Lepisosteus oculatus: one gene and its partner. The protein of the gene in region 2 purifies or fractionates together with the protein of the main gene of each other region. This does not show direct contact. Links are inferred from orthologs where the notes say so. Each region holds a gene or a part of one and is shown on either strand. Other genes may lie near its edges.

Region 1 (7,959 bases), on a different chromosome or scaffold from region 2:
GGAGAACTTTCATTAGAGCGTTTAAAAATAAAACAGCCCATTTTTCCATTACTTCACATTAATGAAAATCTGCATCCAACAAAAGTCACTTGTGGCTGTTGATCTCCCTATGTGTGAGTCACCTGGTATTAAATGACACTTGTCTTTACTTTTCTTTTTCTCCAGCAAATAATTTAACTTGACACAATGGCAAAGACGCTACCAAAATCACAGGGAGAAGGAAGTGGTCTCTCCCACAAAAGAAGAGATGTCCTGCTAGCGCTGGTGGTGTGGTTTAGAGGCAGCAAAAATGGAATGGAATTGATATTGATGCTTATACTGTATAAGGACAAAGTAAGCACAGAGATGCATGCCACTCATGGTCTTGTAAAAGATCATAAAGATAGTAGAATTGTCTGAACAGACTTCTAATTCTGTTTTGCAAGTATAGATACTTCAATTCATATGTCCCATAATTTCCTATAATACACATAATAGTCATATGCCCCATAATTTTAGTGACTTCTGTTTGCTCTTAAAACATCCTGACTCTCAACAGGGTTTTTAGCAATAATTTCACGTATACCACTAACAAACAGAAATTACTTAATCATTTCGGTATAGCAGAAAGCATTTCAGAAACAAAGAGAAATTATCTGTGGCCGCCAGCTGGAAAATAATGTTCTTTGTTAAATCTTATATCATTTCACATACCCTTAGATGACATAGTTAACTATAGTTTTTATTTTAAAATCATTAATAAACACTGGACTTGAATGAGTTCAGGTTCAACAACAGGAACTAAGTCAAGGGTGGATTGAAAATGAGTGATGGACAGGCCAATAGACAGATTTTTACATTCCTGACTAGACATCTCTTTATAAGTTGCTTGGAAAAGTATTTAAAATGCTTTTTTTTCTGGAGCAAGTGCCTCATATACAAAGCAGAAGCAGTGAATAAAAAGCATACAGTATCTAGAGGATGTACAGTTCTTCATACACTTTCTTCCAGACCAGATATTTGGTCCAACTAGCACCTGATCACATACTGACAAATCAATTGTGCGTTACAAAGCCTGTAAGGCATGCACTCAGTGTGCATATTTAAAATTCAAAGAGGATTTATGAGAGACGTACAAAGTACAGCAGTATGGATTTTAAAATAAGTGACCGGGTTTGGCTGAATATAAAAATGGGGGAGAGTGGTTGTGGGGGTGCATCACAGATTTAGAATTTCTTGCAATAACATAAAATCAAACATACAGTCATTAAAGTATAAACTGTTCCATGAATATAGAAAAGTTAGATGAAACAGGCTAATATCAAAGGTCTTCACAAATTTATCACCATGCTACTTTTGCACGTCTTCAAAGAAAAAATGCCATGAAACCATAAGACTGTACCCATTTTTACATGGAATTCCTGGAAGGTTGATCTAAAATAATTCTGTTCTGTGTTTGGTTCTGATTTTATAGCATTAGGAGCTTGCATTTCCAAGTTGAAATTAGAGATTAAAGTGACGTTTCTTCTGCAAACTCATCATGGGTTTTGTAATGTGTATTTCAGCAAACTCTGGAATTGAAAAGCATAGGCAAAATATTTTGCTAATGTTACAGTAAATCTAATGTAGGCAAGTATTACCTACTTTACTTTAGTAACTGATGTAAAGTAAAAGAAATGATGTTACTATATTTACTAAAGTAGAGTACTCGTTTGTTATGAGACTCTTGTGTGGCCAGTCGAAATGGTGTTGTTAAATATACTCATATTTAGCTCATATATTGTGCTTAAAACTGAGATCTAACCTGTTGTTCAGTGAGCCTCATGGCAGTTAATGAACTATGCAGCCTGTCAATAAAACTGTTGACAGACAAACACCAAACAGGACTGAGTTTGTCAGTACTGTACATATATAGTAAAAATACTAAAATGAAGCTTTATGAATTCTTACTACACCTTCTCTGTATAAATGTAAAGATATTTAAAATACAAAAGCAAATTACATTGGTAAGTTTACAAATTGGTTTTTATTTTTTTTCAGTCTTGCTGAAATATGGTATATTTTTAAAATGAAACTAATACCTGTAATAACAAGGCGTGTAAAAAAAAAACTTCAACCCATAAATCAAACTACTTTTACATTTAATTAAACATTTTGCATTTACGGTTAACATTAAAACTTTGGAACTTTAGAATAAAAAAGGCAAAACATGTGAACAGCCACACATATTCTAGTTTTAATAATTTAAATAATCAGTTCTCACATACAGGTTGCAAAGCTTTAAGAATTCTTACCTCAGATGCATACCTTTTGGTGATGTTTCAGTGACCTGTTATTTGTAGAGGCAGAATGACTTAAAACACTTAATTCCTCAGGTTACTTATTATCCACAAGAGAATGACATTAGCATGTGACTTTCTGTGCTCTCCAGCATTGCCCACAGTATTGGGTTGAGCTGTGTCCTTCTTGCTTGAGTGCAGTTCTTATCCCTAACCTTTCTCTTCCCTGTCTGAATGTGTCTGTCTCTCCGGCTTCAGCTGAGGAGCTCTCCACTGTCAGTTATAGAGGAGTTCTCAATCAGCTGATCCCTTTCCTCCTGTAAGTCATCCTATAGCTGTGCACCAGGGTCCCCTGCCTGTACATAGCATGAATCTATGGAAATCAAAGCCTTAGCTCTTCAGTATCCATTATGAACAGCAAAGACAAAAGCCTTATTTTTAATTGTCATTCCTACCAGCATGAAGGAATCTAATCTGATAATCTAGTCTGATTTTTAAAGAATTGCTGTCCTGCCTCAGTACACTATTTATGGCAATTCTGAAGTAAGATCTTTATCCTGCCTTGTATAATTGAAGGAGTTTAATTGGTTGCCCCTCTAGATTTAAAAAAAAAACAATGACAATCAGCACAAGAAATTACACCTATCCTGTTTCTTCGTTTTATCCTTTCAGAAAAACAGATTTTAATGTTTTTCACCATGTAAATAGATAATTCTACATATTCAATTCTGGTACCAAAAAAACATGCCTTTTCATTTCCATCTGTGTTTAACACAGCATGTTGGATATTAGTGGCATGTAATCTCAGTGACCATTGTATTAATTAGACCTACTGTATGAACAGAAAACAAGCATGTCAGCTATAATGTACAAAGTTCTTATGATACCAAGTGAGGAACCTCCGTGCTTAATCTTGCATGCGTTAGACCACTTTTTAAAAACATCCCACTGTGTTGGGTTTTTAACTTGCTGATATCAGTTTATGTTCTTTTACTGACAGAATCTCAACAAACTCAGAAGATAAAATAGGATCTATTTTTATTTTTCTCATGAGTTCACCTAAAGAAAGTTATCAGAGTAGAGGTTATGAATTCCCAATTTGAAGGTTAAGAGGTCAGCTGTTAGCGCACTGCTGTTGTATAAGCTTAGGCTCTCAGGCCTAGTTCAGTCTGAAATGGCCCACTGAATAAATTAGTACAAATATAAGTCACGTTGGACGAAAGTGTCAAATTGTGTTTTAAGTTTCTAGTTAAAAGTTTAATTAAATCTCAAATCAAATACATATTTCAAGTTCTTGGGTGAAAAAATACATTTGAAGAATTGTTATCGTTGTTAAAAAATGTTGTAAAATGTCCAAAAAAAAAAGGGTTTCGACAAGAAACATACTGTATACCGAATACTTCAAGTGTCGTTCACCTGGGATACCTCAAATTCCGCCCGTTTTCAGCGGGACTGCACGGAAATTTGTAAATGAGGTTTGATCTCCATCTAGTGGTAGATGTTGGTATCACATAATCTCCAAACTCCTGCAGTCGATAGTATGGGCGGTTGAATTGAAGGCACATAGAAATGGGATGCATTTTCCGGTGGAAAGTCAAAGAGCCTGTCCAACTCTGAAACAGATATGCCGCCTTCAGAGTGACACCAGCTGCTTTTTGATATTTCAAAAATTGGAAGCAAAGGTTAGTTTTAAAAGTTAGTCGTGGAAAGATCTGAGACAGCTCTGTAATAGAAGATAACGTCTCTTTCTGAGCAGAAAGTCGAGTGCACATAGTGAAACGTTTGAAAACTTCCAATCCAAAAGGCCAATGAGGTTGTACAAAAGCAACATCTGTGGTTAGACGTTAAAAGGTCATTTTCACGACACTCACGTTCTAAGCAATGTAGCTATTTTACACATTTTGTTTGAAAATTAACATCACCGACGCTTCTCCTGTTAGTTTATTATGTGAACAAGTTATTTTGATTATGATTGCTGGCTGCCCTAATTTTGGCGATAACGTTAGTTAAGAATAAAAACTAAACAAAAGCCATTGTAATACTGGCAATCATATAAAGCATATCCAGATTTGATCTTCGGCGAATAACAAAGTACCGCCTGGCACCCTTAACGTCCTAGTCCTCTGCGCCGTCTGACGCCGTCTTGCCTTGATGACGTAACGGCAATGGCCGCTCTCACTGTGTAGAGCAGGGTTTATGAATCTCTCCGATAGAAGAAAAAGCAATCCGAATATTTATTACTGTGTACAGCTTTACACTTGGACGGGGAGAGACGGGGTAGTAGTTACGATCACACTCCTGTCTCAAAAGACGTACAGGTTGGCAACGGTAACAGTCAGATATCTGCTATTTTTTTGTGATTATTTTTTTGAAGGGGGGAGGTCTGTATTGTTGATGAACAGGGAAGCATGGCTGCTTAGCAGATTAGGAAGGGGGCTAAAACCAAGAAGGTATTTTAAGGGGGGAAAGTAGTTGTTGTCCCGGAAAGGTAAGTTAAATCTGTTTTATAGGGATTTTAGGCGCTCTCATGATGCATCTGCAGAGACGGTGTTCTGCCTGGTTCACTGAAGGCAGTCGTGGGGCCTGCTGTCTTCCAAGCCGCTATATTCTTCATTGATTCACTAATTTATTTGGTGGCATAATAGCCCAGCGAGTGAAGTTGTAGGCAGGGGGGTAAATTCATAGGAGTGCGATTTGATGGTTTTAAACGAGACAATGATACCTGATCCTGCACTGTATAGAAAGACAATTTAAGGAAAACGAAACCCTTGCTATCAGGTTATAGACTAGAGTATTTATCACCTAAACCTATTTATGCAGGCCAATTTGTTTTAGTTCTTTATCGAGGTGTTTTGTTTGGATTTATGTGCAAATTCTAAATTGTACATAAAATTGTACTTTTCGTTTTAGTCCTACTCAACGGACGATCGTATTTTTTACACAGGTCACGTAGTTTTCGCTTGCTAGATTACTTGTAGATCGTGGCTAGACACTAGAATGTCTCGTTCTTGTACTAATAAAATGAGCTATTAGCATTATTCTGCAAATCTCAACAAATGGGAATGCAGTAGGGTAGCAATTTTTTAGACAACATCCTATTCTCTTTTTATATGTGCGTTTTTTTAAGTTTTTCACAGTAATCTAAATGAAAAAATAATAGATTAACAATTTAGAAACTAAACAGCTATTCTCTATTGGTCATATATATATATAATAATTTACTTTTAAGCTTTGTTGTTAAGCTCACTTTCCTCAATGGGCAGGGCTACAGAGGAAGACATAATGTGATAAATAATAAGAAAAGTTGACACCTTCCTGAAAGTGTTTTTGAATCCCAAGTAAAGACTATTAAAAGAGCAAATAAATTCACTTCATTCTTTAAAAGAAATTAACCAACTCCCACCTCTTACCAGGCTCTATACTACTTGAGTCTGATCCTGGAGTAGTAAAATTAGATGCTGCATTAAATAGTATACTAGTGACAAATGTCAAAAATTTGGTAACCGGATTTAATTTTCTGATATATCTGACAGGGGGCTAGAAAGTATATCTGATCTGTGGAGAACTAATCCTCAGTCAAAGGCTAGGCTTTAAAATCAGTGTTCAAATTAATTTGCTTTCCTTCTGATCTGTGTGTTTACAGTGTGACTTATAGGGTCTTTATTCTGCTCGTGTCTTCTCTGTAGAGCAGCCTCCAATGGATGCAACTGAAAGCCCCAGTCATGACAGACAGTCCCTGGAAGAGAAAGAGACCTCGGACAGCGAGATGCTGAAAGAGGACAGTCAGGAGGGTGGGGCGGAGTCGGACCTGGAGGATCTAGAGGACGAGGGTGGGGAGAGAGTGTCGGACCAGGAGGAGGAGGAGGAGGATGGGTATGGAGGGGAGCTGTGCCACGAGGTCCCGTCAGGTGCAGCATTGACGAGGGGGCGAGGGGTGAATTGCTCGGACGATGAAGAGGAGGAGGATCGAGTCAGCCAAGAGGCGAAGTCCCCCGACTCGGAGCCTGATCTGGGCCGGGAGAAGCTTTTGTCTTCCCCGCTAGCGGAGGAGGAAGAGGAGGAGGACGACGAGGGGGTGAAGGCAGCAGCTGCGGACAGCCGGGTAAGCGACCTCAAGGACGAGTCCTCGTCAGTGACGCGGGAGCTGGACGAGCACGAGCTGGACTACGACGAGGAAGTGCCCGACGAGCCGAGCGGCGCCGCCCCCGAGGATGAGGACGGGGACAGGGTGCCTGGGGAAGAAGGAGAGGAGGAAGAGGCAGACCCTGAGGATGAGGAAAAGAAGGAAAAGAGGAAGGACTCCCAGCAGCCAGAAAAGGTCACTGAGCCCAAAAGGGCAGAGGAGCCCAAGGCTCCTGAGAGGGGTCGGAGAGATTCCTTACGAGATAAAAAGAAAGATGACGACGATGGAGAGATCGATGAGGGAGAAATAGATGTAAGTGGAGAATCTCTTTTGTTTTAAGATCATCTTTTGTTCTGAACGTTGACAGCTCAGTGTTCTAAAGAGCAGGTGTTCATTTTATTTCCTAAATGCATTATTTTTCACCAAGTTTTGCTTTAAACGTGAACCTTCGGAGCAGATGAAGCTTCTGTACCCAAACTACTCTTTACCATGCTCAAGTAAAGAGCTTGTTTTCACACTGCAGATCTGGAGCAGCAACATGTCAGCCAGACTGCACTCTCCGGTCATTTTTATCCCTCGGCGTTTCTGTGTGGTGTTCCAGGGACCCCCAGATGATGTTCCCCAAAGCGAACTGGAGTCTTCCAGTGTTCTCCTTCATTGAATCAGTTCACTTAGAATGAAATTAAAATTTATATTTCCTGTAGAACAGGGGTTGACAAGGAGTGTTTTAATGCAGTTATTTTTAAGGGTCACCCTAAATCACCTGTTATTTCAAGATTAGGCACAATTAAGCAATTGGTCAATGAAGCAAGTCATCGATGAATTCAACAGTGGTAGATGAGGGCAGGTGGATATTCTTTTCCAAATGATCTCTAAATTGCTTAATTGAGTACACCACCTATTTAAAATAATTAAGATGTTCCTGCCCTTCAGAAATGTATGGTTAAAGTCTGTTGGACTGTTGATTACCCCTGGTACAGAGTGATAACGTTTGCATTTATTTCCCATTTTCTTAATATGGTATTGAAGTGTTGGGTTGTTTCTTAGGTCTCAACCCCAGTTTTGTATAAGGATCCCTTTGTGTCTAAGGGTAGAATGCCCTAGACAGTGTGTATTTTATACGAACTCTTAACCCCTTGGAACCAGATTCTGTGTAGCATGGGAATATTTCATCTCAAGCCAGTGACACTCACAGTTTTTGGCAGCTCCAGTTGATTTGCACAGTGATGATTAGAACCTGTGATCTCCAGGCAGTTGAGTTTATATTCTGCTCATTAGGTATGTGAGTATGAGCAGCACTTGAGCTACTCTGTCTCAGCTGTTTCTTTCTACCTCATTTCATCTCCTGACACTGTATCCTAACTGTGCTTAAATTCACATGTGGATATATAGGTAGTGCTCGATTTACACACTCTTTATGTTTTTGATTTGAAGTGCCTCATGAAGATATCACTTCTTTAAGTAGTTTACTCTAACACTCTCTGGGGGCTACAGGCAAATTGATGGAGGGTTCCAGATAATATACACTGTTCCTATCCAGCCTGTAGTGGCGCAGTGTGGAGGTCAGTAGTTTAGTAT
Region 2 (7,887 bases):
TTTATCCCCACGTTATTTAGTTGTAGGAAGTCCAATTAAAAACTGCCTTATGGGCCCAACCTGCCTTGAACATTAGGACATTAAAATTCAGTTACAGACAAGACAGAGTCATAGAAAACGCGAATAAGACGAGAAAATAATGTATAGATTAGTGGTTATTAACCTATTAAATAAAGGGGTTAGAAGATGGATCGATATAGCAGTATGGGAATAACATAAGCAGCGATTGGCAGTTTTTTCAATTTTTTGAAAAACGTTCTAGAATTCCGCAGACTAACCAACCGACAGAATACCGCTTGCTGTTATTATTGATGTTGTTGTGGTTTTCGCCCGGATGTCGACCGAGGGAGGGCAGCGCTCTCTCGGGAAGACGCTTCCCAGCAACACCGAGCGGATCCTGCGGGCCCGGAGGCCGGGGGGCCCGGAGCCGCCGGCCGACGGCGGTGTCGAGGAGGCCTGCGAGCGGCTGATGGCTGAACTGCGGGTGACCGTGCTGGAGGAGCACGGAGATGAGGTAGGCCCCCGCTTCAGCAAGAGCAGGCCTGCGCTGACCACGGCCGGCCGGCAGGGGGCGCCCTGACTCAGACGCGCTGTGCTGTTACCGCCGGTCATGACGCGTCGAGAGGATGTACGTTTTTATTTAAACATCAGAAATTCATCAACAGAAGAAAAATATTAAAACCGATACAGAAATAAACCCACTTCACAGCTATAAGAATTCACAATTATAAAAGCTGAAAATTAAGCTTTGTACATATTTCCACTGTATGTATTGCCTTTTTGATTCTTCAAATTTCTGATAGAATTTAAGCAAAAAAGAAATTCTACCTTAAAATCATTAATAGAGGGAGCAGTATTAGACCACTTACGTTTGTGGATTCACAGATTAATAATAAAAACATATATTTTATCCAAATCAGGTCTAACAAAATATAAAATAATTTCTAAATCTCTAAATGTAACATTTAGACATTAACAATATTTAACATTTAGTTTAACAATAACATATTGCTAATCTAGCCAAAACAAATTTGTATATACGCAATTCACAAAACAATTAACAAAATTTCCTTCTCATTATTACAAAATACACATTAGTCATCTTGTTCGTGTCAATCTAACAGAATAAAGTCTATGAACGATCTTAAATTATATTTAACTTTGTTTGTAAGACAGTATCTATCAGCAATTGTCCAAATTAATTTCCACTTTATATTCCAAAACATAGTATTCCAAAAAGAGAAACAAGAAGGTATAAAGCGCATAAGGCGTCGTTTCCCAAGACGTCCATTGCAGCGTGCGCAGTAGCACTGAGCTACATGAATAAAGTATTGGCTCTGATTATGAAAACTGGTAACTTGAGTTTTTATTTCCAAATGGTGCCCGTTGGCAACATCTTTTACCTCCGCTGTCTGGCTTCCGATGTAAAACCAGGGCATCATTTCACTCTCAGGAGCGAAACAAGAACCCGAGCCGCAACTGGTAAGTAAGGGGAAACACGAAAACAGAGAACAGAAAACACCTCTCTACACAAAGAGTTGTGGGTGTCTGGAACAGGCGGACGCGGAATAAGGAAACGTTGTATCTCTTTTTTTTTTACACACGGACAAATTGGCAAGTCCAGGAATTAGTCTTACGTAAAGAAATGTCGCTTAAGACGTCGTGTACAGAGTTTGGAAAGAAGACTTTAGAATCGTCGCCTGGACGTGAGGACGTGAGGTATTATAGGTGATTAAAAAAATACGAGCGACAGACCCTCGTCACGTGATAGGTGTGGGGCCCGAACCCTGGTCACGTGTGCCTTCGCTTCGCCTTCCTTTTCCGTTGGCATAGTTGCAGCTGTTCGGTGTGGGGCTGTTCGGAGTGGTTGAAATCGTACGCTTTTACGAAATATTACTTAACATCGTTAGTCAGTGTCACCGGGTTTCGGTTTTAAACTCAGAATCTTTTTTAAAAAATATTTATTCCGTCGTGTTTATTTCCTGGCGGGTATTGCTGAGTATTGCTTCAGTATGTCGGCGGTGCAGCGGATGAAAGTCGCTAACGAGAAGCATAGCAAGACCATCACCCAGCGGGGACACGTCCAGAAAACCACGGTACACTCCCCGCTACACACCGATACCGACACCACTCATCGATACACACGGATGCTGACACAGAAACTCGCCGCTATACATTGATACCGCTGCACGCAGTGCTGGAGAGCCCCGTACTGACTCGAGTGGGACTAGAGACCCATGTCCCCTGTACTGGCTGGACCCGTGCTGGAGACCCTGTACTGACTGGACTAGGGCTCTCTGGGCCCCTTTAGTTGATATCATCTGTGACGTGCTGTATAAGGTGATACTGCAGTCCAGCTGTGACATGCTGTTCTCCTCTCCCTGTGTTCCAGCGCACAGTCAATGAGGACCACTCTCCGGTGGGCCCTTGGCTTCTGGCGCTGTTCGTCTTCGTCGTGTGCGGCTCTGGTAGGTCTCTGATGCCAACGTGCTCTCTCATCCTAAAACCTCTGGCCCTCCCTCCCCCCCTCGCTCTCTGATGCTCTCTGACCTGCTCTCCTCTCTCTCTGACCCACCATCCTCTCTTTCATTCTCTGACCTGCCACCCTTTCTCTTAAATGCTCTCCGACTTGCTGTCCTCTCTCTCTCTGACGCTCTCTGACCCTCCTCATTCTGACCCTCCTCTCGTTCTATCCTCAGCCATCTTCCAGATCATCCAGAGTATTCGTCAGGGTGCATGAGAGCCGAGCCGCGCTGCGCTGCAGGAGGAGCTGTCTCTGGGAATGAGCACCTGCCAGAAGCTCCCTGCCCACCCCATCCCTCACTGTCCTGCTCCCCTCCTCTTCCTCCATTAAAGTCTGACCCTCTCAGAAGGCACCCCTGTGAGTAGGAAACTGCCCCAAGGCTCAGGTTCGATCTGGGGGTTTCAAATTCTGTTTGTTCTGAGCCTCATTTCACATCCTGGATCTTACCAAGTAGGGCTTCTCAATCCCACTTCTGGGTACCCCATATCCCACTGGTGTTTTTCACCTTTACTCCTGGTAGCTTAATGTGATCCCTTCACTACTGATCTGATCAACTAGATCTTTGTCATTTCTTCCCACTCTCCACATTCTCGCTGTTATTGAAAAATAAAAATCTCTTTTCACTGTTCCTGAACTGACAACAATTCAAAAACAAACAAAGGGCAAATACATTGTTACATCTGGGACTGGAGTAAGATCTCAGACGGACCTGCTAGACCCAGGTGTCAGACAGCGCTGGACTGGGAGGTCCTGCTCTAGAGCCAGCTGTATAGTCAAGAGTGGGGCCATGGGGACTGATGGAGTCCACCAGGGGGCGCTGCTTCAGGTCCGAGTGACCAGCAGGCAGTGGATACGGTGTGTACAGTACAACTGTAGGAAACTGTTCAGTGTCCACACTGTCTGTTCATGTCAGTCAGCTCCCTATGGCCCTGTCTGAGTGTGGACCCAGTCTCTCCACAGTGCCCAGTCCTCCCCACACGGGACAACTGACTCCGAGAGTCCCTTGTGTATACTGGTGATGAAGCGCCCCCTGATGTCCGCTGTCTGTCCATGGCAGTGTGTTTCTTATGTTCACCCCAGTCTTCGCTGTGCTATAAGAGCAGCTGACCCTGAGCACCCTTCATTTGATTTTTAACTTCCTTTCTTACTCACCTGCTCACTTTTATATTTCATTATCTCCCTGTTTTTTTGAGGGGGCTCTTCAGTTCAATTTGCCTTTTCTATCACTGTAAATAAATCCACTGTCCTCCTGAAATCCCCATGTCCCTTCCCTGCTGTGAAACCACCCTCCTACTACACCCACTCCACCTAGACCACTGCCTACTCTTCTACAGATGCTATGCAATGGTTTTATACAAATTAAAATATTTTCTCAAAAAACGTCTGTGCTGTGTTTTTTTGTATTTAAAAAATCAGCTGATCCTACTGCCAAACTGGACTATTCAGCCCTTGCTCTCCCGTCAGGCTCTGTGCAGAGCCCCAGGGTGAGTGATCTGACAGGGTGGGTTGTACTGAATGAATAGGCCCATGTATCTCATTTTCTCCTGAGAGACTGCAATATTTGTTGGTGGTCTTAAAATGGGCAATTTCCAATTGGGGGACCTGTCCCTGAATCTGGGCTGATGTCTACAGATGACAGACTGGAGAGCCTAGGGGACACTGGCAAGGTCTCGTTTCCCAAAGACTCAGGGGGGAATTGTGCGCTGCTGAAAAATAGAATTCTGGCCAGATTCAAAGCACACACTCTGCAAAGTTTTCCTTTGCATGAATGGAAAATATTTTTTATGACTGTCATGCCGTTTTTTTTTTCATTGAAGTCCTGAGTCACTGTAGCTGAATCATTATTCTGTGAATGCATCTGATTATCCTTGAAACATGTATAAAATCATTTTCTGTTCAATTTTAATTGTAGTAGCTTCAAGCATATCAAACACTGGTGCTGAGGCTTGTCGGGACTTCTAAGCGTGTGATTTAATATTGCACCTTTTTTCAGCCGTAAAGGCCATGCAGACCTCCGGGCGCTAGGGGGCGCTGTGGGCTGATGGTGCGGGCGAAGGGGAGGGGACCAAGACTTCGCTAGAGGCCACATCCGGGTCTTCTCTCGCGCTGTAGGCCCGCTGGAGGAGTGGGAGGAAGGATTGCGACGCGGTGGGAATTTAATTAATTAAGAAATTATCGCCTTTCTCTGGAGGTACGAAGGTTTTCCCGGGACTTAAGCCGAGCGGGTAAGTTATCGAAAAATAAGTCATGTTTTGTTTTATTGGGGGGTAAGTTAAGGCCTTGGGATCTACCGGTGAAGCCGCGGTCTGGGATGTTGACTCTGCAGGGGTAGATGAGCTCGGAGGCGGCGGTGGCTCTGGAAGCGGAGGCGGTGGAAACCAGTGTAAGATTCCGCGGGTGAAGGCGGCTTCTGTGCAGTTTGTCCGGGAAAAGAGGGCGAAACGCAGCTTGGACACTTCCAGTTTCTGAATGACCTGGAGGGAACGGCTCCCGTGAGAAGGCGCAGCGGGTGCAGAGAGCCCTCTGGGCCGTGTGTGTTCCTGCTGCAGCCGCCCGGGCTGCGAGACGGAAGAGGCCGCGGCATTGTACTCGTGGGCGCCGAAAGCAGCTCGATACGGACGGTGTTTCACGGTGCACGCAGTGTTGTTCGCGGTTAAGAGGAAGTTGATCGGGAAAGTGTCTCGGCGCGAGTGATCCCTGCGGCCGTCTTTTGTGGGGCAGCGGTGCGATTGAATGAATGAATGACGTGGGGCTTCGGCGTTTACTGACAGAGCCCGCGGTCGCCGAACCTACCGGGCTCTGCCCCCCGGTACCGGCCTGGGTTTTTTTTCCTCTGGTTTCTGTGCAACACTGGAAGGTTAGTGGGGGGCTCATTCGCTTCGCAGGGGGGACACTGAAGTTTTCAGGACCGCCATATTTCTTATGTGAAAGTTGACGGTACCGCAGGAAGTTTACAGGTGTGGGAGATGGGGGAGGAGAGGGAACACATTCATCCTGTCTTTGCTGTTTCTTGAAAGAGGGCGGGGACAGCTTGTTCCGGACCCCCACCACTCTTTGTGTAAAGCAGCGCCGCTTGTCCGCAGTCCCGAATTCGCTTCCTCGGTGGGGTTGGGGTAGTTTCGTTTGCCTGTTGTGAATTTCTCTTTCCGAGAGAGGGAGTCGTTTCGAGCATGACTACTCAGTGCGGGTTATGAGCGATTGGTCTTCACCTGTTTGTGGCCAGCACGGTGCACTTTAAAACCGAGAGGCTCGCGTAGCTGAAGCGGGCCGTGGGGAAGAGGTACAGGGCGCAGAGCGCTCACAGAGTGGAAGTTAAACCCCTGGAGACGGTTGTTTTAAGAGGCCAGAGTCTCATGACCTTAAGAGAGGCTGTGGGTGGGCAGGTTCTGGCTGGATCTCCTCTGTTTTTGGCAGAGATGTGAAACTTCACTGTGAGTTAGCCGGGAGCTGCGCGTTTGGGAGAGAGCCCAAACTGCGATCAAGCGGCTTGCTGATGTGTCCTGGAAAACAGTCCAAGTAGTTTTATTTGAGTGACTTGGACCAGAAGATGGCGCTGAGAGAGCAGTGTTTTGGGCTGCTGGAGTTACCCTGCGGCCTGGGCTCCGAGACTGTGACTGTACTGTATTCTGAACCGGGGGGTCTCCGGCCCTGTTTCTGGGGAACCCCAGTCCAGCATGTTTGTGGGTACACCATTGCCAGTTTCTAGTGACTTGGGGCGGAGCGGTGGCTCTGTGGCTCAGGATCTGTGCCTGTGGCTGGAAGGTTGCCGGTTCAAATCCCACAGCCGGCAGTGGAATCCTTCTCTGTTGGGCCCCTGAGCAAGGCCCTTAACCCCATCTGTTCCAGGGGCACTGTACAATGGCTGACCCTGCGCTCTGACCCCAAGCTCTCCCTGTCTGTGTCTCATGGAGAGCAAGCTCGGGTATGCAATAAAACAAATTCCTAATACAAGAAATTGTTAAGGGTTAATAATAATAATTATAATAATAATTGCTTACACTTATATAGCGCTTTTCTGGACACTCCACTCAAAGCGCTTTACAGGTAATGGGGACTCCCCTCCAGCACCACCAATGTGCAGCCCCACCTGGATGATGCGACGGCAGCCATAGTGCGCCAGAACGCTCACCACACATCAGCTATCAGTGGGGAGGAGAGCAGAGTAATGAAGCCAATTCATAGAGTGATGTTGATGTAGCCAATTCATGAGTGATGATTCATAGAGTTAATAAAGTGATGTTGTTGTTGTTGTTGTTGTTATTATTATTTGCGTGTGGCCAGTTAAGCAAGTGATTTGTTAAATTAAGTCCCCTTAAGAGTTTTGCTATTGAAGTATGACTTGCCTGGTTCATACCTGTTATAGATCTTTTTGGTCACCAGCTGCAGGGGGTCTCCCCACGAGCCCCGCCCCCTAGCCCTGCTGCGACCACTGTCGACGCGCAAGGCCCTTTGTTCGCATTCGTGTGTTTTGGCAGCTGTTGTGCACTTGGTGACGTCTTGACTGCCCCTTGCCTCATCCCGCCACTGTTTCGTCTCCCAGGCGCGTCGTCCGTGTGCGCTGTGCAGATCGGGCCGGGCAGGACGATGGCTGACAGCGATGACGAATACGACCGCCGGCGGCGCGACAAGTTCCGGCGTGAGCGGAGTGACTACGACCGGTCCCGGGAGAGGGAGGACCGGCGCCGGGACGACTGGAACGACAGGTCAGGGGTCACGGGGCGGGGGGGAGGGGTGCGCTGCCAGCCACAAAGGTCGTGGTCTCCGGGAAGCCTGAGACACCTGGATTCTGGAAGATAACTGTGGATCGATCGAACAGTTAGATCATCTCCACTTTCCTCTGCTTACCAGTCATTGATCCCAGGGAATCTGCTGCTACAAATATGCCTGGGCAGCTTGTTACAGGCACCCACCACTTTGTGTAAAGAGCCTCCTGTTACTAATGCTCAGTACACTTCTTGGTTTTCACCCGTGTCCTCTGGGCTGTGCTTTGTTGGTGATCCTGACTTGGTGTGTTAAAAAAACCTCCTGTCCTCTGCAGCCTTTGTTCTGTGTCAGTGTTTGCTATTGCCGATTCTTCACGGATCCCAAGGCTGCCTTGAATAGAAACAAGTGAGAGCACAATTGAGAAGACTGCTTTGCACAAAGGGCAGTAGGAGGCTGGAACAGGCAGCCCAGGCGTCTTCTTGAAGCTGTTGCTCTGTCGGATGGGTCAGGAGGTGTGTGAAGAGCAAGCAGAGTGTTTAACGTTGTGTTTTGGGGGAGGTGGGGGTACACAGCGCAGCCCTGAGTCTTGAACTGGGCGAGCCTGGGGCCTCTCCGGACTCCAGGGGGCCCGAGGCTGTCCCGAGTGTGCGCCAGGGCGA

The links.
Region 1: the proteins of srrt (region 2) and zc3h18 purify together in Homo sapiens (co-immunoprecipitation; 4 studies listed by BioGRID and IntAct, counting the BioPlex papers as one, with this or other methods). This does not show direct contact. The link is inferred for Lepisosteus oculatus from reciprocal best matches to the Homo sapiens genes SRRT and ZC3H18.

The regions. Positions count from the first base shown.
Region 1 is NC_090715.1:14,057,330-14,065,288, forward strand, and holds the start of zc3h18 (zinc finger CCCH domain-containing protein 18), read left to right. Parts: upstream 1-4,395; 5' UTR 4,396-4,454; coding exon 4,455-4,586; intron 4,587-5,944; exon of another isoform or gene 5,945-5,949; coding exon 5,950-6,693; intron 6,694-7,959.
Region 2 is NC_090698.1:10,692,616-10,700,502, reverse strand, and holds the start of srrt (serrate RNA effector molecule homolog), read left to right. Parts: upstream 1-4,593; 5' UTR 4,594-4,749; intron 4,750-7,064; 5' UTR 7,065-7,108; coding exon 7,109-7,227; intron 7,228-7,887. Other genes in the region: uncharacterized protein, read left to right, coding at 335-514, 2,393-2,468, 2,700-2,740. UniProt on the Homo sapiens protein: Acts as a mediator between the cap-binding complex (CBC) and the primary microRNAs (miRNAs) processing machinery during cell proliferation.